Macaca fascicularis: one gene and its partners. The protein of the gene in region 7 interacts with the protein of the main gene of each other region in a pairwise test. Links are inferred from orthologs where the notes say so. Each region holds a gene or a part of one and is shown on either strand. Other genes may lie near its edges. The genes, in order: FASTKD3, MYG1, CEP95, GFOD1, POLL, NDUFB10 and FAM9B.

Region 1 (4,287 bases), on a different chromosome or scaffold from region 7:
ATTATATTAAAATGATAGGATTCTTGGTTCCTATTTGATCCTAATGCTAAAGAAACTAATCATAGTACTAAAGGTAACTGAAGCACATCAGTTACCTTTTCTGTATTTAATGGAAATCAAAAATACATGAGTGTATGGGCATATTACATACAGGTGCATATAAAGAAAAAATACTTCCAATCCACTTAAAACATTTTACTAACACATGTTTTTCCTGAAGAGATAAGTAGCAGTAAAACAAACGATACTCACAGATTTTTTTTTCCTTACTCATCTAATGGCTAAAACTGGTGGGCTGTCAATTTGTGGAGGCAGATTTAAACTGAAACCCAAACCAAAATATTGGCTTTTCGTGAATGAACCGCCCAGAACGGCACCTGGCACAAAACAGGTACTCGACAAGTTATCTGAAAGAGTAAATGAACAATATGAAAACACTACACGTTTACAGCTCACAGAAAACGGCGGAAACGATGATGAAAATCTTACTACAGCTAAAATTTCTATCACTTCCCATGAAACACACACATCCTGAGGACTTCCCAGGATCAATCAACCCCTCAGCCCTGCTACTGCCCCACAACCCGGCACCACGTTCCCACTACTCTCAAAGGAGGCCGGAGCCCCAGCAGCCCCAGGGGCGGCGCGGAGGCGGTGGGCAGAGCTCACTGCCGCGTCCCGCCAGGTGGGCTCTCGGAAAATCCCCGGTTCCCCGGAGAGCGCCGCCCCAACCCGACACGTTCCCCCGTTCCCCGCGTCCCCGAGTGCGGTTTCCCTAGTCCTAGAAAGTGCCTGGAACCAAAGAACAGGCGGAGAAGCCCCACACCACCCAGGAGCCCCCGCGCGCAGAGATCGACGCCGATCTCCGGGACGCGCTTCCGGGGAAACCAAGGCCAAGGCCAAGCCCCAGCCCGAGGCCGAGCCCGCCCCCGCGGCGATCCCCGGAGCTCGAGGGGCGTGGGAACCATGGGCGCAAGCCGGCTGCCTCCCCCCGCTCCCCAGCCCGGGCCGCCTTTCCCTCGGGATTAGTACGGGGCCAGCGGCCGGAATCCGGAAACCGTAGCCACCAGCGCTTTTACCTGCGCCGCGCCACCCGAGGACACACCTGCACAGCGCGACTTCCACCAACGCTGCGCCCGTGCGCACTGCCGTAGTGCCCATGCTCCGTACCTAGGACCAATAGGAAGTTCCGAAGGGACCTGGGCCAATCACATTGCGCGGCTGTGAGTCGTGCTCCCGCCCCGCCCCGCCCTGCCCCGCCCCGCGTTTACTACGGTGGCCCACGACGCCCAGGCGCTTCCGCGGCCACCCGGAGTGATTGGCGGGCGGAGGGCGGTAGGTGTCCACGCGGTCTCTCCGGCTGGGTGTCACAGACCTTATCGGCTTTCTCCTCAGGCTGCGCCACCCTGCCCGTGTCTCAGCGCAGGTCCCCGGGGCGCCGAGTTTTGGGGGTGCTCGGCCCGCGGGTCCCTTTCATTCCTAGGAAGACGCGCCCCGGGGCATCACGCCTGTCTGTCCTGCACACTCGTGTTCCCAAATCCTCCCGCGGCGTCTTTAGATCTGGACTGGCCGCCACACCTTCTCCCTTCATTGGTCTATGTTGTGCTTTTTCTTTTCCTACTTTGTTTCCATTGCCGACGTAGACCCTTTCCCTCAACCCTGTCTCCTGACACCGAGGGGAAACCAACAGCTTAGGGCCTTTCCAGCGCGTTTTTACTCTTGCCTTGCTCTAACCTTGCGTAATTTCATCCACTTTACCTATTCTTTGTTTGATTTCTATTCAAATGCAATTTCTTCCTTCAACCAACATTTAAGGGCCACCCTTAAGAGCTACATTGCCTGAGTTTGAAACTTAGCTCTGCCACTTAACCACCTGCATAAACTGGGCAAAGTAACTTTGCTCTTCAACTTCTACCTCATGTAAAATGATGGTAAAGGTACTTAATCTGTGTAAGTTAATAGAAAGTGTTTAGCAAGTAGTAACGATTGTTATTGTTGGATGTCAGCCACTTTTCTAATTCTAGGATGCAGAGACCTTGCTCCTCTGGTGTTTATATGTTATCCATCCTTTTTTTTTTTTTTTTCCTGGTACTCGTTTGTAGTTTCAACATTGATGTTGGGTCAATCATGTTCTCAATGTATTTAACCTTGTCTTTTTAAATGTTTTAATTTAGTTATCAAATTGAGAATCTGATGGCATGGCATTAATCACCTTGAGGAAGAACCTTTATCGTTTATCTGATTTTCGGATGCATGGAGCTGCTTTGAAAAGTCAACCTCTAAATCATGTTCACAAGGTAGTCAAGGAGCGCCTGTGCCCTTGGTTCTGTTCACGACAACCTGAGCCTTTCAGGATCAGGTTCCATCATGCCCATTGTAAAAAGTTTAATTCGAAAAATGGAAATGACCTTCATCCACTCAGTGGGCCAGTATTCTCTCAAATATCTGACTGGGTCAGGCTTGAACAAAATGTTAAAAATGGGGAGAGTCAGACGTTTTACAAGAGACTGAGCAACTTGACTTCATCAGAAGAAGTGCTAAGTTTTATAAGCACGATGGAAACCCTGCCTGACACTATGGCAGCAGGAGCTTTACAACGAATTTGTGAAGTGGAAAAAAAGGATGGTGATCAAGGGTTGTCAAAAGAAATACTGGAGAATAGCATCTTTCAAGCTTTATGCTTTCAGTTGGAAAAGGAACCCTCACAGCTGTCAAACACTACTTTGGTGACTGCTTTGCAAGCTCTGATTCTGTTGCATGTGGATCCTCAAAGTAGCCTGTTACTGAACCTGGTGGCAGAATGCCAAAATCGTCTCAAAAAAGGTGGCCTGGAAGTTCCCAATCTTTGTGTTCTTGGGGAGAGTCTGATTAGACTGCACAGTTCGGGTTGTGTGACACTAGAACTGATTATAAATCAACTGCAAGGTGAAAAATTGGAAACATTTACCCCAGAGGATATTGTGGCCCTTTATAGAATCTTGCAGGCATGTGCTGAAAAAGTGGATGAACACCAAACATTTTTAAATAAGATAAACAACTTTTCCCCTTCAATAGTTTCCAGCCTGAGTCCTAAATTGATTAGCCAAATGCTCACTGCCCTGGTGGTTCTTGATCAAAGTCAAGCATTTCCTCTGATCATAAAATTGGGCAGATATGTCGTGAGACATGTCCCATATTTCACTAACGAGGAGCTTAGGAGAGTCTTGGAGGCGTTCGTGTATTTTGGGTACCATGACAGATTTTTCACAAAAGCCCTAGAGAATCGTGTAGCTGCGGTGTGCCTCACGTTGGATCCTGAAGTTGTCTGCGGAGTCATGGAGTACTGCGGTAGAAAACGGATTCTTTCAAAACCCATCCTCAATGCAGTGGCAGAAACTTTTGTTTGCCAATCAGAAAAATTTTCACCTAGTCAGATTTCTGCATTAATGGAACCATTTGGGAAACTCAATTATTTGCCACCAAATGCCTCTGCTTTATTTAGAAAGCTGGAAAATGTGCTATTCACTCATTTCGATTATTTTCCACCTGAAACATTATTGAAACTTCTTCATTCATGTTCACTGAATGAATGCCATCCAGTCAACTTTATGGCAAAAATATTCAACCCTTTTTTCCTTCAACGGCTGCAAGGTGAGTTGGTTATAAATTCTGACAGTTGGAAAAAGTTAACCTTTGAATTGGCAATGGTTTCAAGTCACATATAAAGGCAGTGTGTTGCCTTTAGTTTTTCTTCCATAGTGATCTGAAGATGAGACCTGAAGTTGACAGATGCTGGCATAAACACAGAGTTAAAGCATGCTAGGAACTCGTATAAAGGGAGGAAAGCTGTCTCAGATAAACTGACTTTTGCCTTATCTGAGAAATTGCAGCATTCTTAGGAGATACAGTGATGGTAGTGGAAATAGCCACATTAACATGTTAGAACTTTTGATGAGTAAGCAACTGTATTTTTTTTTTTTTTTTTTTGAGAGGATGGCATCGTTCATCTCGAATCAAGGCCACCCACATATTTCCGGAACTCCATAGTTAAAGGAAATTTCCACTAATTCTGTGAACATATTTTCTTTCTTTTAATTGTACTCGGTAGCTAGGAGCTGGGTTCTTGGAAGCCAATTTCATTGGTGGCAAGAGGAGGGCAGAATTATTTCTAACAAGTTCATTTCATAGTGTCATTTAAAAGTACAATACTTCTGTCTGGAGTGTGTAAATTGGTGTTGAATGTTCATGATGTTCTCTCATACATACCTCAATTCAGACATAACTGTGACTGGGATGCTTTCTGTTTTA
Region 2 (3,045 bases), on a different chromosome or scaffold from region 7:
ATCACTTTCCATCCTTCCTTCAACAAAGGGGCCCTGCTCAGTGTGGTGAGTGCGCCAGGCTGCTGGGGCTTCCAGGAGTTGGATGGAGAAGCTAAGGGCCTTGGCTGCTGTATGGCTCTGCCAGATGGCCCTTCTTTGGGCCCAGGCTCTGATCCTTTTCTTTCCCTTCTCTGCAGGGCTGGTCCACAGGCCGAATTGCTCACATCCCGCTGTACTTTGTCAATGCCCAGTTTCCACGTTTTAGCCCAGTGCTTGGCCGGGCCCAAGAACCCCCTGCTGGGGGTGGAGGCTGTATTCATGACCTGCCCCTCTTTACTGAGACATCCCCAACCTCTGCCCCTTGGGACCCTCTCCCAGGGCCACCACCTGTTCTGCCCCACTCCCCACATTCCCACCTCTAATAAAAAATAAGTTTTCCTTTTGTTTTCCACTCAGTTACCAGTCTGTCTTTTCCAGGGAGTTGCATTGGGGTAGAGTAGGGGGAAAAAGCATGGACTTTGAGTTAAGGCCCTGTTCTGTCACTTTTTAGCCACTTGTGAATTTGGTCACATTAACCCTAGAAACTGTATGGATTCAAATGCTTTGGAAAGCAAGACTGAGAAGTTACTGTGAAGAAAATATATCTAACACAGGGTCTTACATATAAATAGTTGTTTCACTTTTCACAAGTTTCCAGAATGGTGTAGGGCAAGAATGAGTCAAGGACTGGGTCAGTATGAGGTGGAAGGTTTTATTACACTAGGACATTTGTGGGAGGTATGAGCGCTGGGCCAATGTGGCACGGGCCATGTTCAAGGCACCCTCTCGGGTGCGGTGACCGCCAATGAAGCCACTTGCATGGACGAAGATGCAGCCAGGGATCCCACTGACCTGGTCCAGGGCCTCGTCCCGAAGACCCCGCCATGGCTCTGGTAGGGGCAGCCTACAAGCGGGCAGAAAGAGGGAGCAGAGCAGAGGTCAGAATTGGCAGCCTTCTCTTAACAAGGCTGAGACAGGCCTGAAGGTCAGTAGGGTGGTTCCCTAGGGCTCACCGGCTTTGGAATGAGTGGGGCTCCTTGGGCACAGACTGTACTCGCCACTGTCCAGCCTGGTCAGTGTAGATAACAAAGATGATGGCCACTGGAGGGGACAGCCCAGATTCCAGGTGGTAGAGATGCTCCTTCCAGGGACATCCACCTTTCGCCAGTTCCACAATCTCCCCACTTGGGTCCACCTGAAAGAGGGAGAGGATAGCTAAAAGGTTTAAGGTAGGCTGGGCATGATGATTATGCCTGTAGTCACAACACTTTGGCAGGCTGAGGTGGGAGGATCAATTGAGCTCAGGAATTTGAGACAAGCCTAGGCAACAAAATGAGACCCTGTCTCTACAAAAAATACAAAAATCAGCTGGGTGAGGTGGCATGTGCCTGTAGTCCCAGCTACTCAGGAGGCTGAGGTGGGAGGATTGCTCGAGCCCAGGAGGTTGAGGTTGTCTGCCACTGCACTCCAGCCTGGGTGACAGAGAGAGAGAGATCCCATCTCAAAAAAAAAAAAAAAAAAAGAAAATGTTTAGGGTTTAGGGTAGAAGCAGGAGCACCTGTTGATTGGCAGTCAGTAATCCCCAAGCCACAATGCCTCCTCCAAGGCCTATACCTGGAATCGCTGGGCAAGGGCCTCTTCCACCAAGGCCCGGGCTGGCAGCCAGCTGTGTTGGTAGAAATCTAATCTCTGCAGAAACTCCTCTTGAACCAGATCCATTGCACGCTTGAACCCTGCCTGGGAATGATGAGAATCAGAACCAGGGTGCTGGCGCAAACTTGGAATTTGCTAGGGCTTAGGAGGAATAAATGCTCCCATTTCCCCCCGCCCAAGGTTCTTACAGGTCTCAGGGTTTCCTCCCACGCCACCTTACCTCAGTGTCTTGGTCAGGCTGGTTCCAGGTAGGATTAAGTCGAGCAACTCGTGCACTCAGGGTAGTGGTCAGTGCATATCGAGGCTCCCCCTCTGCCCACTGGGAGATCCCATTGTCCACGGCATCCACCTCCTCCACAAAGTTCTCATACATCTAAGGCAGCAGCAGGGGAAACTTTCTTGAGGCTACCTACTATTTATGTGAAGTCTTAACATGATTCAAAGTATGTTCATACACACTCAGCCCTGTGAGGATCTCTCAACATAACTGGATGAGAAAAGGGAGAACTGGCAAGTTCAGCAGCTTGCTGAAGCTCAGGAGTCTCACTGTGCTGTGACTGGAATTCAGATCACCTGGTTTCTAATCCATGCTCATTCTGCTGCACAAAGCCCAAACCAAAGCCAACAAGTGTGGGGAGGGGACTGCTAACTTTTGAACAAGGAAGAGGGTCTTCCAGGTGCTAGAGGGTCTCTGTGGGAGTGGGTCCCTGTGGTTGAAGGCTGGTAAGTCTCCAGGTGGGGTGAGTAGGTATTCAGTGACATGGTTAATGAGGTGCAGGAGGGGCTCTGGTTGAGAACACAAGTCAAGAGGGAGAAAATGAGTCTGAGATTAGACACCAAAAGCTGGTTGCTGGGTTAGGGTTCCAGGGAAGCCCATAATGTGCCACATGACATCAGCAGTTGTCTCCTGGGTCTGAATAAATGGTAGGATAATGCCTCAAGAGTCTCGGGGCAGAAACTTTATGCAAAATTGCCCGACAAAATAGGCCTCCATAACACTACACCTGTGGTATGTAGAAAAGTGCTACTCTCAGAGCACTGAGAAAGTAACTTCTATGCCCAGCACTTCTTGGTTTGGACCCCAACCTGATGCTCAGTTAAAACATGGGTTTAGGCTTAGGTGGGAGGATCACTTGAGCCCAGGAGTTTGAGTCCAGCCTGGGCAACGTAGCAAGACCCTCTCTACAAAAAATTAAGACATATCATTAGCCAGGCATGGTGGCATGCACCTAGAGTCTCAGCTACTTGGGGGGCTGAGGTGGGAAGATTGCTTGAGCCTAGGAGTTCAAAGCAGCAGCAAGCCATGATGGCACCATTGGACTCCAACCTGGGCAACAGTCTCTCAAAAATAAATACATAGGCCGGGCGCAGTGG
Region 3 (4,286 bases), on a different chromosome or scaffold from region 7:
ACATGGCTGATGCCGGCCGCCCTCCTACCCCCACAGCACCAGTGGCTTTGGAGGTGGTCCCTTCGCTCCCACAGAATGCCCGACCACCCCAAAAACACCTCCCGAAAGGCCGCACCTAACAGCTGTTCCTTCGTCTGCCTCGAAGCGTCGCGCTTTCATCCGAACAATGCGCTCCCTCTGAATTCCCTCAACAGCTACCAAATGGCAGCCGCCCCGACGGCTCCCCGACCCCCACACAAAAAGCGAGGATGAAGACACTATCCCGTCAAATCTCTCCCACTCACTGTTACGTGAATATCAAAATGGCGCAAGCCTTCGGGAAAGGAGGCCCCAAGATAGCCCGGAAAGGCCGAGTCCAAGCCGCAAAGCCCCGGCCCGCCGCCACCCTGACCCGCCCTCCCATCCCCCACCCGCCAGCCCTGACAACTCGGCTCCCACACTCACCCTCGATCCCGGCCGCGGTCTCGGTCACTCGAATAACCCGACATAGCGTCAATGGTTGCGGTTGGCGGGGAACGAAGTAGATAGAAAAGGGTGCGACGAGTCGCTGGAAATGGCTTCGGCGACGGCGAAGCCTTGCGGGGGCGGCAGCGGAGGAGTGACGGCGATGACACCAGCCAAAGCTGCACACCTAGAGACCGGTGGAAATGAATGAGGTGCCGGCCGCTTTCCGGCAGCCGCTTTTATAGTCTGGACCTCCTCCTACGCCGCAAGGCACGCTGGGAGCCGCTCTATGACCTAATCGCCCCGCCCCTCGCGCAGAGGCCGCAACGCCCGCCGGCGTTCCGCGATCGCCGCGCTTTCACCCCACCCCGTGCCGCTCTCTCAGGTCAGGGCCCACCCACCATTGAAATGCCTCATTCTCCACTCTCTTGACCTCACCTTCTTCTCGTCTTTCCACACCTCAAGAAAGCCACCCTGCCCTTTCCCAAGCCCAGCCAGACGATAAAACAGCCAGCCCAAGCCCGCCCACCCTCCCCACTCGGAGGTGTTTACGTCTCCAAAGAGCCCTCACGCCTGTAACCAAATGAGAGGGAAGGCGGGGGCCTGGCGTTGTCACGTGACGTTACCCCCCCACCGCCCACCGTGACAGGGGGCCGCACTACTTCCCCGTTGACGTCGGCGGAGGGATACATAACGAAATAGCTCACCGGAAGTGCGCTGCCAGCACCCGGGACCCGCCCCCAGCTGCCGGCTAACTTGGACCGTCCGACCCACGGGTCTGACAATCCTGTGACGGGTTTTGGCCGGCGGAGAATGGTCTCTAAACTTCCCAAACCGCTTCCGTGGCACGTGCTGTGAAAGGAAGTGCTCCTCTGATGACCAATCAGCGGCGAGAAGTTCTTTTAACGTCCCTCCCTCTTTCACGCCTCCTTCCCCGCGCTTTAGTTCGTGCGCCCGCCCCCCAGCGTCTGCTCTGCGTTCGGTCCTTGCAGGACACCGTCGCCGGTCTGGCAGCGTCGGAGTCCGGCGGCGACCTGCTTCCGAGACATGGCCCGCTCGGAGGCTGGTGAGTGTTTCCCTGGGGTCGCGGTGTGTGTTTACTGAAACTGTCCACCTTCAGGGAGGCCTCGGGCTAGCCCGGACTGGGTCTGGGGTGTCGGCGGGGCTCGTTACTGTCAGACGCTGCGTCGCGGTGGCGGGTTCTCTGGATAGGGTCTCTCAGCTTCACCCCCTCTTCGCTTTGAGGCCGTGGAACAGCAGTATGAGGTGGGAGAGAGGCACTGGGGCGAGGCCGGTAGGACGCTCGGGTCCTGGCTGCAAAAAGAGCAGTCAGAAGGGTCGTCCTCGGACTTGTCTTTCTGTGGGGCGTCTAGCCGCTGTCCATGTGCCCTCCTCCCTTGCACTATGGGCCCTGAGGTCGTACCTCCTTTTGTAGTGGTCTTTAAAGGAACGGCACTCTTAAGGTTTATTCATGCCCCTGCCACAGAAGAATAGTGGTGCTTTTTTCTCTTCAGTGCCCTCTAGAGTCATGGGCTTTGTCTAGCACCGCTTTTGAAGAGCGAATTAATTTGGTTGTCTAGGACGCTTTCATCCTTTTCACTAGGACTGCGTACAAACCAGTTGTCATGGTTTGGCCAGTTGTGAGAAATGGGCTTGGAGAGGGGGGATTATGTGCCTGGAAGATACACTCTCATTCGTTTCCAGAACGTCATGTGTCCAGAACATAGTGGAGATGTTTGTTTCTAATATCGATTGCCAGTGCTTTCCTACCAATCGTCAGGCATTTCAAGGAACAAGTATTTTAAGCTAAGTTGCTTTTGGTAGAGAAACTGTTAAACTTCGCAAATCCCAGCAATATCTAGGGGAGAGGAGAATGTGGTATGCAGGAAACGTCAACAGTATTGATAATTCTGAGCTTCATGTACTTCCAATATTTTGTTTCATGTAGATCAATATAATAAAAAAGAAAAACTAAGAAATGCATTAGTGTTGATGTTGTCATTATGCCAGTTCTTAACAGCCTAAGTTTAATCACCACTTATTTGGGCACCAGAGAAATCCTGACTTGCACAAGATAATTGGGTAAACACATGACCAATACTGTTGGGAGTTTGAAGCAACATATTTTATTAATGACTGTCTAGTAACTTCAGATTATTATTAAACTGTTGCTTATGACATAATATTCCTGTTTACTTGTAAACATGTTTTAACTAAAAACACCCACGTAAGGCTTATATAAGTAACTTAAGATTTTAGGCTGCAACAGTAACAGTTGAATTTGCAGTATAGTTTTGACTGTATAGAAATTACAGCACTCTGGAAATCATCCCAAGAAATTAAATACATCTTTTTAAAAATCATGCCTAACGGGTCTTTGAAATTCTATAACAATCAAATTCCCTATCTTCTACAAAGTTCAGTGTCTTTTTTTTTTTCTGGGTGGGGAGGTTGTTGGATTTTTTGAATGGGTGTGTGATTTTTTTCTGGTGGTATTTAAGACTGATCTTTCCCCCTTTTTCCCAACAGAGTGGGTAACCATTGCCAATAGCCTTCTTTTTAAGTGTCATATACATCTGAGAATACATGAACTTCAAGACTGTGATGCTAATGTTTTTATTGCCCTTTATCAGTCTATTTTGGGAGAAAAGGTACCAGGTAAGACTACTAAAAGCAGGAGTAATTTTGCCTATATCTTAGGTCAGAAGTTTTTGGTCCTTTAGTTAGATGCTTTGGTATTTATAACATTTCATTTTCTCTTTGCCTATATATTTTTTAATATTGCATATTAAATTATATATTAATATACAATATTTAAATATCGTATATTAAATGGTATTTAATATTGCGTATTGTCTAATTATATTATATTCCTTAAGGAATACCCTGTGGAATCCACTCAATAATGGCCTTGAGCAGATCAGTTTGAGGGCTCCTGATAATCACTGGTTAATCCAATCATGGCTAATGCCTTGTGAAAGTTGCATCCTTTCTGAAAATGTACCTTCAAAGGTTGTAAAATTGAGTGGAACTTGGGAATTTATTGGATCCTGTCACTTAACCAGTGTTAGGGGTAAGAATTGATATTTGTACTTGATGAACCTAATTTACCAAGACAGTTAATAAGCGTATATATCCTTTCATCTTGCTCCCCATCTCACTATGTTCAAGAACAGGGTGGTACCAACTCAGCTTAAGTGATTCTCCCCTGTCTGCCTCCCAAAGTGATAGGATTACAGGCATGAGCCACCATGCCCAGCCTGTACTGACATTTTAAATCTTTATACCAATAATTCCAGTTGGCTACTCAAAAGGACATATAAGGGCCGGGCGTGGTGGCTCACGCCTGTAATCCCAGCACTTTGGGAGGCTGATCATTTGAGGCAGGTGGATCACCTGAGGCTAGGAGTTCAAGACCAGCCTGGCCAACATGGCAAAACCCCGTCTCTGCTAAAAATACAAAGATTAGCCAGGCATAGTGGTGCACGCCTATAATCCCAGCTACTTGGGAGGCTGAGGCAAGAGAATTGCTTGAGCCGGGGAGGCAGAGGTTGTAGTGAGCCAAGATCACGCCACTGCATTCCAGCCTGGACAACAGAGCGAGACCCTGTCTCAATAAATAAATAAACAAACATACATATATATAAAATAATCTTCCAATGCCTGCTGTGTTGTTTTTTTTTTTCCTCTCGTAGAAAGCAGCCCATAGTTATGGGTTAAAGTATCATGTCTTGGCTCCCTTACTAGACTATTAGCTCTCTTTGAATGTAGGGGCCACTTTATCTTCCTTAACATGGTGCTTCTTGTAAAGCATGTTCATATATATATGTATATATAAATGG
Region 4 (4,436 bases), on a different chromosome or scaffold from region 7:
ATTGTGTTAGCCAGGATGGTCTTGATCTCCTGACCTCGTGATCCGCCCGTCTCGGCCTCCCAAAGTGCTGGGATTACAGGCTTGAGCCACCGCGCCCGGCCTGTGCGTTTCTTCTAATGCCCTAGGTCAGCCTCCACTCCGCATTGCCACACACAGCTTTTTTGATATCCTGCTCTCTCCACGCGCGCCCCGCCTCACTGCCAGTTGTTACAAGTTGTTTTAAACGCTTGCAAGTATCACGTTTTCCACTCGTGTTGCGGCAGACATTGAGCCCAGTGCTGAAGACAGGAGATGAACATGACCTGACCCATGACCTCTCCAAAGACCTTCAGCTAGAAGACGTGCCTTTCAATTTTTAGTCCCCGCTCCCGGCATCAAATGGGTGCGAAGCGGGCATTCGATGAATATGCATTCATTTATTTAGCAAATGTTTATTGAGGGCCTACTACATACAGGCAGGCAGTGTGCCAGGTGCCAAGGATATGGTGGAAAACCAGACAGACGCAGAGTCCCCACGGCTCCAGAGGTGCGGGGCCAGCCTTGGCCAGTTCCCCTCAGTCCCCCCTCGAGGGCCTGACAAGGGTGCAGGGGGGTCGAGGTGGGGGCAAGCTGGGAGAAGTAAAGGCTGCTGGAAGTGGCGATGGCAACAGGAGCCGAAGCAAGAAGCGGGCGTGGCATCTGGCCAGGGCGACATATCCGTCTCGAAACCTAGACACGAGACGCACGCGCCGCAGCGGCCTCGGAGACCCCTGCGCCGCTGCGGCAGTCCAGACCACAGCCTCTACGCGGCGGCGGGCACGGGCCTAGGGGCAGGGGAGGTGGGAGGCAGATGGGAGCCCGCCAAGACTGGACTGTCTGGGAAGAAGGCGGCTGAACCTTGCGTGCGCGGCCGGAGCGGGGGCGCGCGATTGGAGCAGGCTAGCTTGGAAGGGGACCGGAGAAGTCTGCGGTTCCATGCCCAGACTCTGGGGCCTGGATTCCAATCGCAGGCCTGTTGCTTACATATGTCACCTTGCGCAAGTCCCTTAGCCTTCACTGGGACTCATTTACATCACTGGTAAAATGGGTTTCCAATAACCTTAGGTTGCTGCGAGGACTAAAAGGGACAATGCCTGGAAAGGCTTCAGTATGATGCTCAGCACGCAGGTAACGCTCCGGGGACCGAGGTTGTTAATACCGGCTGTTCGCACCTCGCCGGGTCCCCTCACTGCCCCCAGGCCAAGGCGCCCACTGCTCTCTTCCAAGGGACAGGCGACTAACCTATTGGGGCGCGCCCTGCCTAGATAGATTTATTTGCTTGCTTGGGGCGGGGTTTGGAGTGAAGCAGGGAGGAGAAGAAGATGGTGAGGGCAAAGAAAGGGAAGAAGCGGAGGGGCAGGAGGCGAGCGAGGCGGGGCCGGGGAGGAGCCGGGCTGGGCTCCCAGGGCCCCGGCGCAGCGCGCACCCGGAGCTGGCGGCGGCGGGGGCGGGGGCGGCGCGCGGCGGCCAATGGCGCGCGGCGCTGCGGTGAGGGCGGTGCAGGAACACCGGCCGCTGACAGCCAAACTCGCCAACTCCGCCCTCGTCCCCGCGGGATCCCGGAGCCTGAGCCGGCCTGGGGCCGAGGCCGCCCGAGCCGCGAGGCGAGCGAACATGGCAGCAAAATGAGGAGGCTGGCGCCGGGTCGTGGCAGCCGCTGCAGCGCTGCAGCTTGAGATCCCCGTCCGGCGCGCTCCGGGCCGCATCCTTAGCCGGCCTCCTGGCGGTCGCGGGATTATTTCATTCCGAGCGGAGGGCGAGGGATAAAGGAGACTCCCCAGCGGAGCGGGTCCGTGCCCAGACTCTGGGGCAGGGTGTAGACGTTTGTGTGTGCGATTCGCCGGCTGCGCAAACGACGCGGGAGAGAGACGGTCCCGGGCTGCGGCGGCGCGGCCGCGGGGATGAGCCGGCCATGGAGCGGCCTTGGCTGGGCGCACGCAGCGGACTGGCGCTGCCGCCCGAACGCCGCCTGAGCCGGGGCTCCAGGGGGCTTCGAAGCCTCCGGCGCCCTGGGGGGGTCCCTGTCGCCGACTCCGGGAAGGACGCAAGCCCCGCGTGGCGGACACTGCCGCAGTCACCGTACTGAGGCGCCCCGAGCTTGCTCCGCCTGCAGCTCGGTGCGCGCTGGGCACCCGGGCGCCTTGCCCGGTGCACGGCGGCTGGCGCACAGCGGCTAGATTGGCTGCAGGAGCCGGGTGCAGGACTAGCTGGAGGTGGGTGTGTGCGCGTGTTGGACTGGAGATCCGAGTAGAAGCAGAACCAGGCGGCTCTGAGCAGCCATGCTTCCCGGGGTGGGCGTGTTCGGCACCAGCCTCACGGCCCGTGTCATCATCCCGCTGCTAAAAGACGAGGGCTTCGCGGTGAAGGCGCTGTGGGGCCGCACGCAGGAAGAAGCGGAGGAGCTGGCCAAGGAGATGAGTGTCCCCTTCTACACTAGCCGCATTGATGAGGTGCTGCTACATCAGGACGTGGACTTGGTGTGCATTAACCTGCCGCCGCCTCTCACCAGACAGATCGCTGTCAAAACCCTAGGTGAGCGACCCCTACCCTGAATCCTCCGTCCCACACCCGCCCTTTAACCTTCCCTGGGTTCCTTCCCCGCTGCCTTTCCCTTTCCGTGTCCCAGAAGCTTACCCTGCATCTACGCTGCCCCATGGATCTGAGATCCCAGATCCGACTCAGAGCTCCCTCCTTCCTTGTCCCGGGCCTTCCCCACCTTTGCACTTCCCTCCTGCCTCCTGGCACCACTTGGACGCGCTTCCCCACGTGTGTGGCTGGCAGGCTGGAGGAGGAGTGTGTTCCGGGGATCCGAACTAGGAAGATCAGATGCCGATATCAGGGGATGGGGTGCTCCGCAAGAAGAGGAAAGTTAGTCCTCAGCTGTGTGTGTCGTGTACGTGTGTGTGTGAGTGTGTGTGTGTGTGCGCGCGCGCGCCTGGGAGACGCGAGTGCGCGCCCAGAAACGCCTGAATAAAGGGCCGCACACGTGTCTCGGGGTTCTTGGGTTCGACAGAGGACCTGCCCTTCAGCAACTGTGGCGCCCTGTTGGGGTCGTTTGTTTCTTTCTGCTGTGAGTTAGTTTAGCGTGACATTGGAGGTGTGACCATCGGCTGGAATTATTTCGTCTGCGCTGGAGGCAAGGATGATGGGAGCGGTTGGATGGGGGTGATGATTTAGAATGTTTTCAGAAGCGTCATAGGTTAGTAAAGACTGATTTGATAAAACCAGGGGTTTTAACTTTTGAATGCAGCCTTCCGGGAAATGTCTTCTGCCACAGTTTGGAGTAATCGATTTTAAATTTTTACGGGGATGGGCGCAGTAGCTCCAGAGTCATGGACGCTTTGCATCAGAAAAGGCCCTCGCTAATCGCCTTCAGGAATAGTTTCTGAAGGCATAGTGTTGACCCGCGGGGGCCGGAGATGAGTTCAGGGTGCCTCACCATCTGGTCCCTGCTCCCCTCAACTCCCAGGCAGTCTGAACAATCTCTGAGCACAGAGTAGCAACCTCTTAGCCCATGCTCAGGGGAAAGAGAAGGGCATGTTTTGTTCATCATCAGTTCTTACATATAACCTAAAACAATCCCAGGAAGCTTGCTTGATCTTACAATTCCAAGAAAATTAGCAGCTCACCTTTGAAAGCTGAAGTTTCTATTGGTGAGGAAAACACAAAGCTTATAACAAGAACAAAGCTTATAACCAGATGAAGCGAATAGTAGAACAGATTAGAAGGGAGGAACTGCCAAGGAACAGAGACCATCCAGAAACCAACCGGAAGTTATGTAGTCTTGGAAAGACTGTTTTATTTTTTAAAAATAGGTGTGGATTCAGGGTGGGTGAAATATATATATGTGTTTTAATTCTGCCTTCGAAGAGCTCTGAACAGAATGTAGAAACTCTCCATAGAAAGGCATTTTTATCAGGCCATTTGGCTGTTGACTCAGATGCGACATCTGATGGAATTCCTAAGGAGGCTGCTCACATTGTCAGTTTTAATTGTCAGTTAATTTTATTAAGTGTCTGCCCTTTGTGGCCTGTTTCTTTGGCCTTGAACTGAATGCCATTGAGTCTGGCCAATATTTATTTTCTGTTTGATGGAACATGTGTATTGGGTGGATAACTCCCTTGTTTACATTGGCTCTTTGCATATTAAATATTTTATAACCATCTTGTGGTATAATTCTATTAGTGCAGTTTGTACAAAACTGGTCCCTCATGAGCCCTGGGTATACTGGAGAGCTTAGGACTGGTCATATCTGAAAGACCATGTTGTAACTTCGTTTCTCCACCATAGAGATGGTGGTTCCTGTCCTGGGTACAGACCCACAGAGCAAACCTAGAGCAGGAGGGTGGCGATTTGGGGAACAAGGATGACCTTGTTTTCTGGCTGTCTCTGGGAAGTTGGCCATGAAAGTATCTGGG
Region 5 (4,295 bases), on a different chromosome or scaffold from region 7:
CTCGAACTCCTGGCCTCAAAGGATCCGCCCACCTCAGCCTCCCAAAGTGCTGGGATTACAGGCGTGAACCACCACACCTGGCCATAATTTTTGTATTTTTTGAAGAGATGAGGTTTGGCCATGTTGCCCAAGCTGGTCTCGAACTCCTGAGCTCAAACGATCCACCCGCCTCAGCCTCCCAGAGTGCTGGAATTACCGGCGTGAGCCACTGTGCCTGGCCTTATTAATTCTTCAGGACCCAGAAACATCATCACTTCTGTTGGGTCTTCTTCCAAAGACATGTCGCTTACACCTTCACTCTTTCCTACCATTTTATACAAGACTACAACCTCTATTTAACACATCTTATTACTTAAATACATGTTTTTCCCAACCAGTCCAAGTCCTGTGACAACATATCTTTTTCTTTCTGTTCTAGTTTAGAGCTTGGCACATAGTAAAAGCCTCCCTAAATGTTGCACGAACGAGTAAATGATTTTAATTTCCACAAACTCCAGGCTTCCCTGATTGGCCTCTGCCTGTGAATGTGAATCACCAGCTATTATCTTGAAAGTCTCAGGAACTTCAGACACAATTCATCCTGGTTACCCAGTGGGTCCAGAAAGGACCCAAGTGCACAGGGGGCTGACATCGGCCAATCCTAGGGTGAGGAAAAGTTAGATATCCATGCCCCTGTGCCCACTTCTTCCATGCACAGCCCTTGGTCCTTGCTCTAGCTCCCCTTAAGACACAGAAAACATTTAGAGGTTCACTTAACAAAAATATTACAGCTGGAAAGGACCTCAGAGATAACAACGGTAGTCCATCCACTTAATTTTACAGATGAGGAAAGTGAGGCCCAAACAAGTAAAGGTGCCAACTGGAGAGCCCGTGGTGAATTAATGGCACAGTCGGAACTAGAGCCCAGGCCTCTCTCCTCTCTAAAGTCTAAAACATTCTTGGATTTCAGTTTCCTCTTCTGTAAAACGGGGTGGAAAATTAGCCTCTCAGGACAGTGGTGAGGAGCAAATGAGATAACGAATGTAAAAGAAATTACTATATTAGCAACAGAACTCAGAGCGGGGCGAGATGGTGTAGAGAAATTTAAGGGGTGTCCGGAGACATGTGTTCTGGTCATGTCATCTCTGTGAGCCTCAGTCTCCTCATCCGCAAATGCAGGACCTGGCCCGGCTGACCACCGAGACCCTTCCAGCTCTGCCGACCCAGGCCCTGAGGCCCTTCCCGGAGGGCCGGACCCTGGGGGAAAAAAACGAAGGAGCTCGCGGGGACCCTCGAGTTACCGTCCTGCAGCAGTGCAGTCTTCTGGGCTGTCCGCAGACTCTCCAACCAGCCCGTCACCGCCATCTTTCCTCTGCTAAGCAGCCCGCCCGGCCGCTGCCATGGCAACCGTTCCACTGAAGGTCACTTCCGGCTGACTCGGAAGCTATTCTGGGCATTTGCCCTCCTTCCCCCCTTCGTCCGTTCTCATTGGCTCTCCTGGTAAGTGGCCTACTCCTGCCCACCCTCGGGTGACCAACTTGGCCTGTTGTCGACCGCACCCAGGGACTGACTCTGGCGGTTGGAGAGAGACTCTTGGCGCCGGGGTTGGGCACTCCAACTCTCTACTAGCCCCGAGCTGGGATTCCCTGGCCTGCGCCAGCTGCGTACAGGGCGAGTACACCACACCTGCCCGGGTCTTCACCCCCAGCTGCGAGACTCCTCCATTCCCGGAGGGCTCCCCACACCTGCTGCGGCCGTGCCCCATCTCCCCGCAGCTGCGGCGCTGAGCATCCCCATGTCGAGAGGCTGAGACCAGGGCAGGTGCAGGGCGTTCCCACTCACCCGCGAAAGTCCGCCTCCTCAGGTTTTCCTCTGCAAGTCTGTGTTGGAGAAAAAGAGTATGTGGAGTTTATGTGCAGGTCCTCCCCAGTCTCCGCTCCATCCCCTAAAGCTCCATTTCCTAGCCCAGCATCCCATTTTGGTAAAGCCCTTCGAAGTGGGCCGCAGCAGGAGGGCTGTGCTGAATCTTTAGAGCAACCCCTTTGAGGAATGGGTATAGTTTCCTACTCCTTAAAAGTACCCCCGATGGCTCCAGCCTTCCCCTCATTTCCCCTAATACTCCAACTTTGAAAGACTGGGGAGTGTGAAGCTAGGCTAAAAAGCTAGTTTAACGGGGTTTGAAGAGATCCCCCCCAACCTCCCGCTTCCCCAAACTGGGCTGCTACCCCCTACCTCCATAGGCAAAGGGGTTGGAGATCCTTAATTCTGTATTTCCACCTGACAGCAGCCCTGACCAACCCTCCAACAGGCTGGGATGCAGCCGTACTTCAATGGATCCCAGGGGTATCTTGAAGGCGTTTCCCAAACGGAAGAAAATTCATGCTGATGCATCATCAAAAGTACTTGCAAAGATTCCCAGGAAGGAAGAGGGAGAAGAAGCAGAAGGTGAGATGACCCACTCTCAGAACCCTCATGCGCTTGAACCCTCAGCCTTCATGTGCTTCAGCCCTATGTTGTTCATGTCCAGAATCAGATATTGGAGCTGACTCTGCCTGTCCATGGACTGCAGGTCTGTTTGTATCTGCCTTGTACTAAGCTTGGTCCTGGGTCTTGGACAGGCCATTTGCTGTGTTATCTTCTTTTCTACCTGAACACCCCTATCAATTGGAAAAGACTCCCTGGACCCTCAGGGAATGACCAGTATAATTTTTGCCCTGGGGGACTGGGACAGAAACCCCCCTCCATTACCCAGGATTGTTGTTAGTTGTTTTGCAGCCAAATTGATAAATAAATAGCAGAGGCTTTGGAGGCAGGGTTGTCGGGTCTGTCAGAGTGTAAGGGCAAGAAATGTGCATTGTTGAAAGAATAAATGATAAAGGATTCAAAGTATGGAGAGAGGCTGGGCGCGGTGGCTCATGCCTGTAATCCCAGCACTTTGGGAGGCCAAGGCAGGCAGATCACCTGTGCTCAGGAGTTCGAGACCAGCCTGGGCAATGTGGCGAAACCCCGTCTCTACCAAAAATACAAAAAATTAGCCAGGCATGGTGGCACATGCCTGTAATCCCAGCTACTTGGGAGGCTGAGGCATGAGAATCGCTTGAGCCCGGGAGATGGAGGTTGCAGTGAGCCAAGATGACGCCACTGTACTCCAGCCTGGGCAACAGAGTGAGACTGTCTCCAAACAAACAAACGAAAAAAACAAAACAAAAACAAAAACAAAGTAAGAAGGGAGGAGGCATTCATTCAGCAGATATTTACAGGTTACTTACAATGTGCCAGACACTTCTAGGTTGCACCAAGGAACAGGACGTATAAAAATCCTTGTCCCTTACTTTCAAGTACTGGCCTGTGAGAAAATTTGCTGTATATAGAAGGAAACCTGCCTGGATGGAAGACAAATGCTTATTTTCAGGGTAGGGGACTGTGAACATGTCATTCAGATCATGTTAGAAGTTGTATTCAGATCATGTTAGAAGTTGTGGCCAGGGGGTGGCAGATAAAATTAAAAAGTTATGACAGTAGTCATCTGGATGTTCCTTCCCCAGAGTGGCTGAGCTCCCTTCGGGCCCATGTTGTGCGCACTGGCATTGGACGAGCCCGGGCAGAACTCTTTGAGAAGCAGATTGTTCAGCATGGTGGCCAGTTATGCCCTGTCCAGGGCCCAGGTGTCACTCACATTGTGGTGGATGAAGGCATGGACTATGAGCGAGCCCTCCGCCTTCTCAGACTACCCCGGCTGCCCCCGGGTGCTCAGCTGGTGAAGTCAGCCTGGCTGAGCTTGTGCCTTCAGGAGAGGAGGCTGGTGGATGTAGCTGGATTCAGCATCTTCATCCCCAGTAGGTGGGCTGATCCCAGTCTTTTTTTCCAATGTTTTCTAGTAGCATCTTGAGCTCTCTTCTTGAATTATTAAAAATAACTGTCATTAATTTAAAAATTAGCCAGGCATGGTGGTATATGCCTGTAGTCCCAGCTATATGAGGGTTAGGTGGGAGGATTGATTGAGCCAGGGAGGCTGAGGCTGCAGTGAGCCTTGATCATACCACTGTACTCCAGCCTGGGTGATAGAGCAAGACCCTATCTCAAGAGAAACTCCAAAAACCTCAAAAAACTCATTTTCTTAATTGGACACACTGGGAAACCAAGTATTTCAGAATACATTAGGACTGGGGACAGAAACAGGGTGAGACCTTTGGTGTCTTAACCTCCCATCACCATCCCCACAGGTACTTGGACCAGTCACAGCCCAGCAAGGCAGAGCAGGATGCTTCTCTTCCTCCTGGCACCCATGAGGCCCTGCTTCAGACAGCGCTTCCTCC
Region 6 (4,390 bases), on a different chromosome or scaffold from region 7:
TTTATACAAGAAAAATAAAGTGAATTCAGCCTGTTACTATGTCCTGTGTCCTGCATGGTTAGTGATGGTTTGAATCTGCGGATGTGGGGCCAATAGATCACACCAGAAACACAGGCAGGTTGCAGGACTTTATTTCAGCAACAGTCATACAGAGCCACACAGCAGGCGCACCCACAGATGCCTCAGGAGGTGGCAGCGGCGGCCTCTCTTGCAGCTTTTCTCTCTTCCAGCATCCTCTCCTTCTGTTTGGCCAGGCACTTCCTGGCAGAATAGTGGGCCCCCAGGTCCTGATCTGAGAAAGCAATAGAAACAAGCTGGGAACCCAGGCCTCTGCTGCATGCAAAGGGGGGGCAAAGTCAAGTGGGCAGAAGTGAGGGGAGGGAGGAATCGCAATGGTTCTGGCCCCCAGGCCTCAGAAGGATGGGAGGGGGAGGTCACGCACAGCGGTCCTGGTAGGCCTTGGCCACCTCGGTGAACTGCTCCACTTCCTTGTTGCAGTTCTGCTTGTAGTTGTGTCCTTCCCTCTGCTGACAGGCCTTGAGTCGAGCCTGTATAATGTTGACAATTTCTCGGTCGACTTGGCTGGGGGAGAAAGGGAGCAAGAGAGGCTAATCACCAGGAATCCTTTCCCTGTACCCCTCGAGAACAATTGAAATCAAGAGCCCTGGGGTCTGGCTCCTCCCATGTCAGTCCTAAGATCTGGGCATGCCACCCTGTGGAATCCCAGGGACCGGTGGCCCAGCTGCACATGCTGCAGATCTCCACACTCCCAGCGTGGCTCACGTACTAGTCCCTCCTCCACTGCATTTCAGCTTCAAACAAGCACAAGATATCATTCTCCTTGCACTCAGTGATGTCCGGCACACGGCGGTACTGCCGGTGGTAGTAGTAATACCTGTTCTTCGCATGCTGCCGCTCTATAAATTCTGCAAAGACAAAACCACAGACTCACACCTCATTGGTTTGGACAAGCTTTTAGCTTTCTAGTTCTCATAGGCCCCTTGGAGGGGAGGGAGGAGAACTTCCTGAGTGTTCCAGCGTTTAGAAAACAGGCAATTCGGCCGGGCGCGGTGGCTCACACCTGTAATCCCAGCACTTGGGGAGGCCGAGGCGGGCGGATCATAAGGTCAAGAGATCGAGACCATCCTAGCTAACCCGGTGAAACCCCATCTCTACTAAAAAAAGCAAAAAAATTAGCCGGGCATGGTGGCGGGTGCCTGTAGTCCCAGCTACTCAGAAGGCTGAGGCAGGAGAATGGCGTGAACCCTGGAGGTGGAACTAGCAGTGAGCCGAGATCGTGCCACCGTGCTCCAGCCTGGGTGACAGAGCGAGACTCCATCTCAAAAAAAAAAAAAAAAAAAAAAAAAACCCGGCAGTTCGTCTCTCTATGAGGTGTGGCCGGCCAGGCAGGCCTGTGAAGGCCTAGGCTACAGCTGATGGAGAGCTCCAGCGTACCAGGCATCATCCTCAGAGTTCCACATGCATTACCTTACTCTGTCCCCCACACACGCCTACAGGCAGCGGCTTCTCACAGACAGCACTGACTGTGACGAAGCTCTGCCGGTGCACCTCCCCCAGCTGCACAGGGACCCCTGTGGAGTCCTGCGGGAGGACTGGGTGCGCAGAGGTTCCAACAGGGAGCCTCCAGCAAGCAGAACTTACCACCTTACAGCCTCAGCTTCCTCACTGGGAAATGAACAAGCTAAAAAGAGAGCTCGAACATCCAGACACATAGGACAGACATGTTCTAGGACTGCTACAAAAGAGAGGGAGCTGGGTCAGCTGTTGCACGGTTTACAGATCCTTGGGGGTTTGATTTGCAGACTTCATCCTTTTACAAGAGAACCACCAGAGCATGCTATGCACCCCAAGTGTTCAAAAAGAACTGAACCAGGCTGGGCGCGGTGGCTCAGGCCCGTAATCCCAGCACTTTGGGGGTCCAAGGTGGGAGGATCACCTGAGGTCAGGAGTTCGAGACTAGCCTGGCTGACATGGTGAAACCCTGTGTCTACTAAAAATATAAAAATTAGCTGGGCTTGGTGGTGGTGCACCTGTAATCTCAGCTATTGAGGAGGCTGAGGCAGGAGAATCGCTTGAACCCGGGATGGCGCAGAGGTTGCAGTGAGCCGAGATCGCACCACTGCATTCCAGCCTGGGCAACAGAGCGAGACTGTCTCAGGGAAAGAAAAAAAAAAAAACACTGAACTGGGCATTCTCCCGGTTCGTTCCAGAGATGGTGAATGTGGGCATCTCGGCCATCACCCTGACACTTGGTCATCTGGCAGGTCTATAACAACCCCCAGGATTCAGATGCTTCCCTGTGCAGACCACCCCTAACATTTGAGAGAGGCCTGAGGCCAGCGGTGCGGTGGAGGGGTTCCCGGCGCGGCGGGGGCAGAGAGCAGTGCGGGGTCCTGGAGCAGTGGGTGCTGGGTGCGGCAGGGAGGGAAGAGTCCTGGGAAGGAGCGGGGCGTCCCGGGGTGCAGGGGAGAGTAAGGGATCCTAGGAGGTGAGGTCCGGGGTGCAGTGGGAGGCCAAAGTAGGCGACGGAGCTCGGGGGTCTCCGGGGGTGGGGGGTTGTCCCCGGGGTGCAGCGGGGGGCGGTCTCAGGGAGACGGGACCCCGGGGGCATTGGAGGATCCAGGCAGGGTGTGGGATCCAGGGGTCCCCAGAGGCCGGCGAGGGAGCCCCGGGCTGGGGCCTCGTACCTCTCACGAGGGTCACGGGTCGGTCCACGATGAGGTCGAACGCCTTCGTCATGTAGACGACGGGATTGGGCAGCCAAGTCTGCGACGACAGCACCGGCGTGCGGCGCGGGGGCTCAGGGTACACATCCTTGTCCCAGCTGTCCGGCATGGCGGCGGGAGGCGCGAACCCCGCTCCCTGACGCGCTGCCCTTGCCTCTACCTCTGTCCGGGTCCCGCGGCCTAGGTCGCCAGCTACAGAGGACGCCGAGGGCGGCTGCGTCTGTGCGCTGGCGGCCGCGAGGCACTATGGGACTTGTAGTTCCCCGACTCCGCCAGGCGCGGCCGGGACCCGCCTCGCCGCAGGGCGCCCCCGTGTGGGGCCTCCGTTCTCGGTCTCTGCCGAGCGCCTGCGCGGTGCTGGTCACTGGTCTGGGAGCCTGGGAAGTAGGCGCGAACCGGACAGATCCCTGCTTACAGTGAAAGAAACAGACAATAGCCAACAGACATAAGGAATAGGAGGGAGTCATTCGGTTCCCACTGCCCGCCAGGCACTGTGCTGAGTGCAGCAGGGAAGAAGATAAACAGCCCGGCTGTGATGGAGAACACAGGCCGTTAGAGCATACACGACAAAGTCAACAAATAACACGCAATTCCAAACTCCCTACTCTTCTAGGAAGCTTTCCTGGATTGCCTACCCCGTACAGAATTCCCTGGGCCCCGCTCTCTACCAGGACCCCTGGTGAGACGGGGTTTCACCATGTTTCTGGTCTCAAATTGCTGACCTTAGATGATCTGCCCACCTCAGCCTCCCAAAGTTCTGGGATTACAGACATAAGCCACCGCTCCCAGCCAAACTCTTGGAAAGAAATACAAACCATGAGACCCAAACAATCTTGACATTTTAGTAGTCTAGAATCTTAGTATCTATTGATGTAAGAGTCACAGATGTTAGAGACATCGTAGGCCTGAAAAACTCTAAAATTCCACTGCTATAGAACTTTACAACCGGCTGGGCGGGGTGGCTCACGCCTGTAAACCCAGCACTTTGGGAGGCCGAGGCGGGTGGATCACCTGAGGTCAGGAGTTTGAGACCAGCCTGGCCAATATGGTGAAGCCCCATCTCTACTAAAAATACAAAAATCAGCCGGGCATGGTGGCACGTGCCTGTAATCCCAGCTACCAGGGGGGCTGAGACAGGAGGATCGCTTGAACCCAGGAGGCAGAGGTTGCAGTGAGCCGAGATTGTGCCACCGAACTCCAGCCTGGGCAACAGAGGGAGACTCTGTCTCAAAAAAAAAAAAAAAAGAACTTTACAACCATAGCATCTTTGAATTGAAAGAGATTTCGAGGGGCACAGTGGCTCACATCTGTAATCCCAGAACTCTGGGAGGCCAAGGCAGGCAAATTGCTTGAGCTCAGGAGTTTGAGACCAGCCTGGGCAACATAATGAGATCCCTGTCTCCATAAACAATACAAAAATTAGTGAGGCATGGTGGTAAGTGCCTGTGGTCCCAGCTACTTGGGGGGGATGAGGCAGGAGGATTGCTTGAGCCCAGGAGGTTGAGGCTGCAGTGAGCTATTACTGTGCCACTACACTTCAGCCTGGGCACCAGAGGAAACCCTGTCTCAAAAAAAGAAAGAAAGAGAGAGAGAAAGAAAGAAAGAAAGAAAGAAAGAAAGAAAGAAAGAAAGAAAGAAAGAAA
Region 7 (4,268 bases):
AATATACTGCTTGTATGAATCATCGCTATCGAAGAGCTGAAAACTGAATTGAGCTTTTCAAAAGTAAGAGTATTGTCTCCATCATCTTTACAGAAATTTTCTCAAACTTTTTTGAAAATATGGTCCCTATAACAGTGCAACTAATATTTCACACAGCAATATAAAGTTTATGAGTTTTTGGATCCAATTACATGTTTCTCACTAGATAGAAAAGTTGTCCTTACTTTTGTACTACACAGTTTATTACTGGAATAATAATAGAAAATGATTTTAGAGAATTCAATTTTCTCTTGTACTTCAAATAAAACAAAATCAGAAAGCTGTGACAATAGAATAGCTAAATTAAGAACATGAAAAACTCTTATTAAAAACTCTGAGTACATATGGACAGGAAGAAGGGACCAACAGACAACTGGGCCTACTTGAGAGTGGAGGGTAGGAGGAGGGTGAGGATCAAAAACCACCCATCAGGTACTATGCTTATAACCTGGGTGACAAAATAATCTGTATACCAAAACCCTGTGACATGCAATTTATCTATATAACACACCTGCACATGTACCCCCAAACTTAAAGTGAAAGCTTAAAAAAAACCTGATATATGACTTAATCTGCGTACACTAAAAGGAACGAATAGAGCTATTTCTCCTCCAATGTCCTCTAATATTCTCCAAACAATTAAATTTCCACGTGTATGAAAGAAAAGCCATCCATCTCGCTTCACCATTATTAGAAGCATTCTCACATTCCACATCAACAATCAAAGAGGTAAGAAAAATTTATCAAACAGATTACATTAAATACGTATGTTAAATGCTACATATGATAAGCCATTTAAGACAGTCTTGTCATCCACTGATTCATATAACTTACTGCAACAGTTGCATGATTGAAAACAATTTTCATAAACGACAGATAACTCCTAAAATATACCTGCAGTATCTTCTGGCTTCTTGGTATTAGCCCTGTAAAAAAAGTTACATCAAAATTTTAGCATAATACTACACAAAATGCCATGTTTGTTGGGAAAAGAAATGTCTTATGTGAAATGTTCTGCACAGAATAGAACAGTGATGACATGGTCCAAAGGTGACTTTTCCTAAAAGACCCTATCCGACAGGCAAAAGTGACTTAAACACTTTACCCCGTGTGCTCGTCTTTTTCAGCAAAAGGTTCTCTTTCCCCATGCTCATCAGTTACATCTTCCTCCCTTGTTTCTGTAAAAGGGTTTCTTTCCTCACATTCGTCACTGACTGGATCCTTTCCTGCATTAAAATTTAAAAGACAAACCTTTTTTAGAGGAAGACACTGTTGTGGACTTTTTTTGTGGAGAAATGTACTAGTTGTAGACTTTTTTTTTTTTTTTTTTTTTTTGGCTATCTGCCAATTAAGGCTTTAAAGCAGAGCTGTACATGGAATCACCGGCTTCTGACCATTTTATCAAGGCACTTTTGGAAGCCCTTCGGGTTCAAGTCCCAGTAAACAACGTACTACACGTCAGACCCCTTGGATGTCATGACTGCACTCATGGAGAAGAGCTGCTCTGGGAGCATCTGTAACCCCGCTATGAGGGGAGCCTTTTACGGGAAGCCTAAGGCCCTTGAGCCTGCTTTGAAAACCTGGGGCATCTTAGCACGTGCACGATGGACTCCAAAGCCACGAAGGGGCCCGGGTCCTTGGGCTACCCCTGTGCCCCCAGCGCAGAAAGCAGACAGACCGTCCTCTTGGGCGTGCACTTTCTTCCGGGTCACCTTGGGCTGTATTTACCTGCACGCTCCTTCCCCTGGGCCGCCATAAATTGAGCCTCCAACTGGGCCTTGGCAGCCCTCCTGCCCACAGGATCCGTGGCTGGCTGTCCTGGGAAGCTACAGGTGATCCCTGAACCTGATGAGGGCAAAGGCACACTAAGGAAGCAAAGGAACCCTGGCATCGGAAAGGAAAGCCATTGGGATCACAGGTTTAAGAAGGGTGGGGCTGGCACGCCCTGGGCCTCCTGTGGGAGCAGGAGGGGACCGAAAAGATGCCAGTGTCCCCTCCTGTCCTGGCCCGTCCAGCCCGTCCAGCCCGTCCCCGGGGCTGGCTGCAGAGCTCACAGCTGCCCCTCACACCTGAACTCCACGGCGTCTGCGGGATCCTCGCCGCACCTTTGGGACAGAACTCAGCCCTACCTCTGGGTCCCCCAGCGACCCCGTGTGGCTGGGAGGGCCACCGGGTGACACAGGATCTCCCCAGCCACCTCCAGAGGAATGTCAGGGGCTGCACTGTCACTCACCCGCCTGGATGCACAGGGGACCCCTGATGACCCCAAGTGTCCTGTCCTGACGGGAGGCCGGGCAGGAGGGCCCCACTCAGACTGTCCCCAACAACACCCTCGCCCCACCCCCACTTCCCCCCACCTTCCGCACCTCCCCCCAACACATGCACAAGCCCTCCTGGGCCCTAGGGATCACCCAGGCGGCTCCAGCTCCCTCCCTGCCCTGGCCCACCCCAGCCCACCCTCAGGGCCTCGCCCTGACCCAGGCCCCAGGCGACCACGCCAGGGGCATTTCCTCACAGGTCAGCGGGCGGCCCAGCGCTTCACACCCTGGTTCCCAGAGGGCCTCGTGCCTGCGTTTCCGCCTCCCCACCGCGAGCGCTTCACCTGAGGGACCCCTGATGTGGCGCCCTCAAAGAACCTGCAGACAACAGCACCACTAGGATCTCTTAGAAAACGGGTCCTCTCAGGAGGCTGAGGCAGAATGATTGCTTGACCCCGGGAGGCGGAAGTTGCAGTGAGCCCAGATCGCGCGGCTGCACTGCAGCCTGGGCGGCAAGAGCCAGACTGTCTCAAAAAACAAAAAACAAAAAACAAAAAAGAAAACAAGTACTCAGTTCTCGTGAGAGCTGCCGACAGCACTTCCTACGCTCCTCGCAGATTGGTCGACTCAGTGCACATGCGTGTGACAGGCCGTGTGGGGCCACGCCCCCTGCTGGCACGCCCTCCCCCTTCCCCTAAGTGACAGCAAGTGGTTGCTGTGGACTGAGGTGGGGTTGGCCCTTTGGGGCCTCTGTTCCCACATTCTTTCAGCTTCTGCTCCTGGGGAGGGACACAGGACTTGGTATGGAGGCCAAGTGGACAGGGCCTAGAACCTCGCCCTGGGGCTCTTTCCAGCCACCCCTGCCCCTTTGGCTAGAATGGCCATCATCCTATGGGTTGGGCCCAGGCTCCCTCCCATGCCCTGTGTGCTTCCAACATGCCCAGCTGCATCCTTTTCAATCAATGGATTGTGCTTTTATTGTTTTTGTTTGTTTTTGAGACTGTGTCTCACTCTATCGCCTAGGCTGGAGTGCAGCAGGGTGATCTCAGCTCACTGCAACCTCCGCTTCCCGGGTTCAAGTGATTCTCCTGCCTCAGCCTCCCAAGGAGCTGGAATTACAGGAGCCCAACACCAAGCCCTGCTAATTTTTTTTTTTTTTTTAGTAGAGACGAGGTTTCACCATGTTGTCCAGGCTGGTGTCAAACTCCTGACCTCAGTTGATCTGCACGCCTTGGCCTCCCAAAGTGCTAGGATTACAGGCATGAGCCACCGTGCCCTGCCCATAACCATTTTTGTTTCCTCACTACTTTTCTTTCTCATCCTCATGCCCCAGACTTGCCCACAAACCCTCATGCTCCAGACTTATCCAGACATATGCCACAACCTTCACCCACAAATTAATGCCTTAATACTTATCGTTAACTCAGCTTTTTCCCACCTCCAGTCGCCTATAATAGGGGGAGAGTTGTTTTGGAGTTAGGAGTAAATAAATATTGCCTAAAGTTTGTAAATCAAGATATAGAGTTTCATTATATTATTGAAATTATATCCCAGCACTTTGGGAGGCTGAGACGGGCAGATCACAAGGTCAGGAGATCGAGACCATCCTGACTAACACGGTGAAACCCTGGCGACAGAGCGAGACTCCACCTCAAAAAAAAAGAAAAGAAAAGAAATTACAAAGGCAGTCATCAGGAAAACTAATCCACAGCCTTAAATGTCTATATAACCAAAAAGAGCACACACAAAGAACACAAATCCTGTAGTAAAAGTTGGAAAATAAAGAAAATACTCCAGAGACCATAACATAAAGGAACAAAATTAAGGCCAAGTGAATCTGTTGAGCAAGAAATATGAATGAGATAAACTCAGAATCTAAAGGAAATGACTTCCAACTTGGATCAAAATAAAAATCTAAGTATATGCTGTATGTAAGAATGGAGCTAAAACAAAATGATACAAAAAATACAT

Evidence for each region.
Region 1: the proteins of FAM9B (region 7) and FASTKD3 interact in binary tests that used the Homo sapiens proteins (3 or more experiments, as listed by UniProt). The two-hybrid records come from large-scale screens. The link is inferred for Macaca fascicularis from reciprocal best matches to the Homo sapiens genes FAM9B and FASTKD3.
Region 2: the proteins of FAM9B (region 7) and MYG1 interact in binary tests that used the Homo sapiens proteins (3 or more experiments, as listed by UniProt). The two-hybrid records come from large-scale screens. The link is inferred for Macaca fascicularis from reciprocal best matches to the Homo sapiens genes FAM9B and MYG1.
Region 3: the proteins of FAM9B (region 7) and CEP95 interact in binary tests that used the Homo sapiens proteins (3 or more experiments, as listed by UniProt). The two-hybrid records come from large-scale screens. The link is inferred for Macaca fascicularis from reciprocal best matches to the Homo sapiens genes FAM9B and CEP95.
Region 4: the proteins of FAM9B (region 7) and GFOD1 interact in binary tests that used the Homo sapiens proteins (3 or more experiments, as listed by UniProt). The two-hybrid records come from large-scale screens. The link is inferred for Macaca fascicularis from reciprocal best matches to the Homo sapiens genes FAM9B and GFOD1.
Region 5: the proteins of FAM9B (region 7) and POLL interact in binary tests that used the Homo sapiens proteins (3 or more experiments, as listed by UniProt). The two-hybrid records come from large-scale screens. The link is inferred for Macaca fascicularis from reciprocal best matches to the Homo sapiens genes FAM9B and POLL.
Region 6: the proteins of FAM9B (region 7) and NDUFB10 interact in binary tests that used the Homo sapiens proteins (3 or more experiments, as listed by UniProt). The two-hybrid records come from large-scale screens. The link is inferred for Macaca fascicularis from reciprocal best matches to the Homo sapiens genes FAM9B and NDUFB10.

The regions. Positions count from the first base shown.
Region 1 is NC_088380.1:8,145,583-8,149,869, reverse strand, and holds the start of FASTKD3 (FAST kinase domain-containing protein 3, mitochondrial), read left to right. Parts: upstream 1-1,295; 5' UTR 1,296-1,335; intron 1,336-2,174; 5' UTR 2,175-2,198; coding exon 2,199-3,630; intron 3,631-4,287. UniProt on the Homo sapiens protein: Required for normal mitochondrial respiration. Increases steady-state levels and half-lives of a subset of mature mitochondrial mRNAs MT-ND2, MT-ND3, MT-CYTB, MT-CO2, and MT-ATP8/6.
Region 2 is NC_088385.1:60,106,459-60,109,503, reverse strand, and holds the end of MYG1 (MYG1 exonuclease), read right to left. Parts: intron 2,045-3,045; coding exon 1,892-2,044; intron 1,756-1,891; coding exon 1,633-1,755; intron 1,214-1,632; coding exon 1,032-1,213; intron 923-1,031; coding exon 739-922; 3' UTR 717-738; downstream 1-716. Other genes in the region: AAAS (aladin), read left to right, coding at 1-45, 177-401. UniProt on the Homo sapiens protein: 3'-5' RNA exonuclease which cleaves in situ on specific transcripts in both nucleus and mitochondrion. Involved in regulating spatially segregated organellar RNA processing, acts as a coordinator of nucleo-mitochondrial crosstalk.
Region 3 is NC_088390.1:71,097,779-71,102,064, forward strand, and holds the start of CEP95 (centrosomal protein of 95 kDa), read left to right. Parts: upstream 1-1,396; 5' UTR 1,397-1,491; coding exon 1,492-1,510; intron 1,511-2,972; exon of another isoform or gene 2,973-2,973; coding exon 2,974-3,102; intron 3,103-3,328; exon of another isoform or gene 3,329-3,411; coding exon of another isoform or gene 3,412-3,517; intron 3,518-4,286. Other genes in the region: probable ATP-dependent RNA helicase DDX5, read right to left, coding at 445-488.
Region 4 is NC_088378.1:159,456,912-159,461,347, forward strand, and holds the start of GFOD1 (glucose-fructose oxidoreductase domain-containing protein 1), read left to right. Parts: upstream 1-1,569; 5' UTR 1,570-2,297; coding exon 2,298-2,550; intron 2,551-4,436.
Region 5 is NC_088383.1:110,560,456-110,564,750, reverse strand, and holds the start of POLL (DNA polymerase lambda), read left to right. Parts: upstream 1-1,425; 5' UTR 1,426-1,479; exon of another isoform or gene 1,480-1,877; intron 1,878-2,263; exon of another isoform or gene 2,264-2,287; 5' UTR 2,288-2,309; coding exon 2,310-2,424; exon of another isoform or gene 2,425-2,451; coding exon of another isoform or gene 2,452-2,548; intron 2,549-3,524; coding exon 3,525-3,819; intron 3,820-4,202; coding exon 4,203-4,295. Other genes in the region: protein DPCD, read right to left, coding at 1,281-1,344.
Region 6 is NC_088394.1:2,722,121-2,726,510, reverse strand, and holds NDUFB10 (NADH dehydrogenase [ubiquinone] 1 beta subcomplex subunit 10), read right to left. Parts: upstream 2,944-4,390; 5' UTR 2,857-2,943; coding exon 2,709-2,856; intron 927-2,708; coding exon 788-926; intron 583-787; coding exon 443-582; intron 293-442; coding exon 183-292; 3' UTR 116-182; downstream 1-115. UniProt on the Homo sapiens protein: Accessory subunit that is involved in the functional assembly of the mitochondrial respiratory chain complex I.
Region 7 is NC_088395.1:8,685,531-8,689,798, forward strand, and holds the start of FAM9B (protein FAM9B), read right to left. Parts: upstream 2,927-4,268; 5' UTR 2,642-2,926; intron 1,885-2,641; 5' UTR 1,796-1,884; coding exon 1,768-1,795; intron 1,266-1,767; coding exon 1,145-1,265; intron 966-1,144; coding exon 934-965; intron 1-933. UniProt on the Homo sapiens protein: May play a role in meiosis.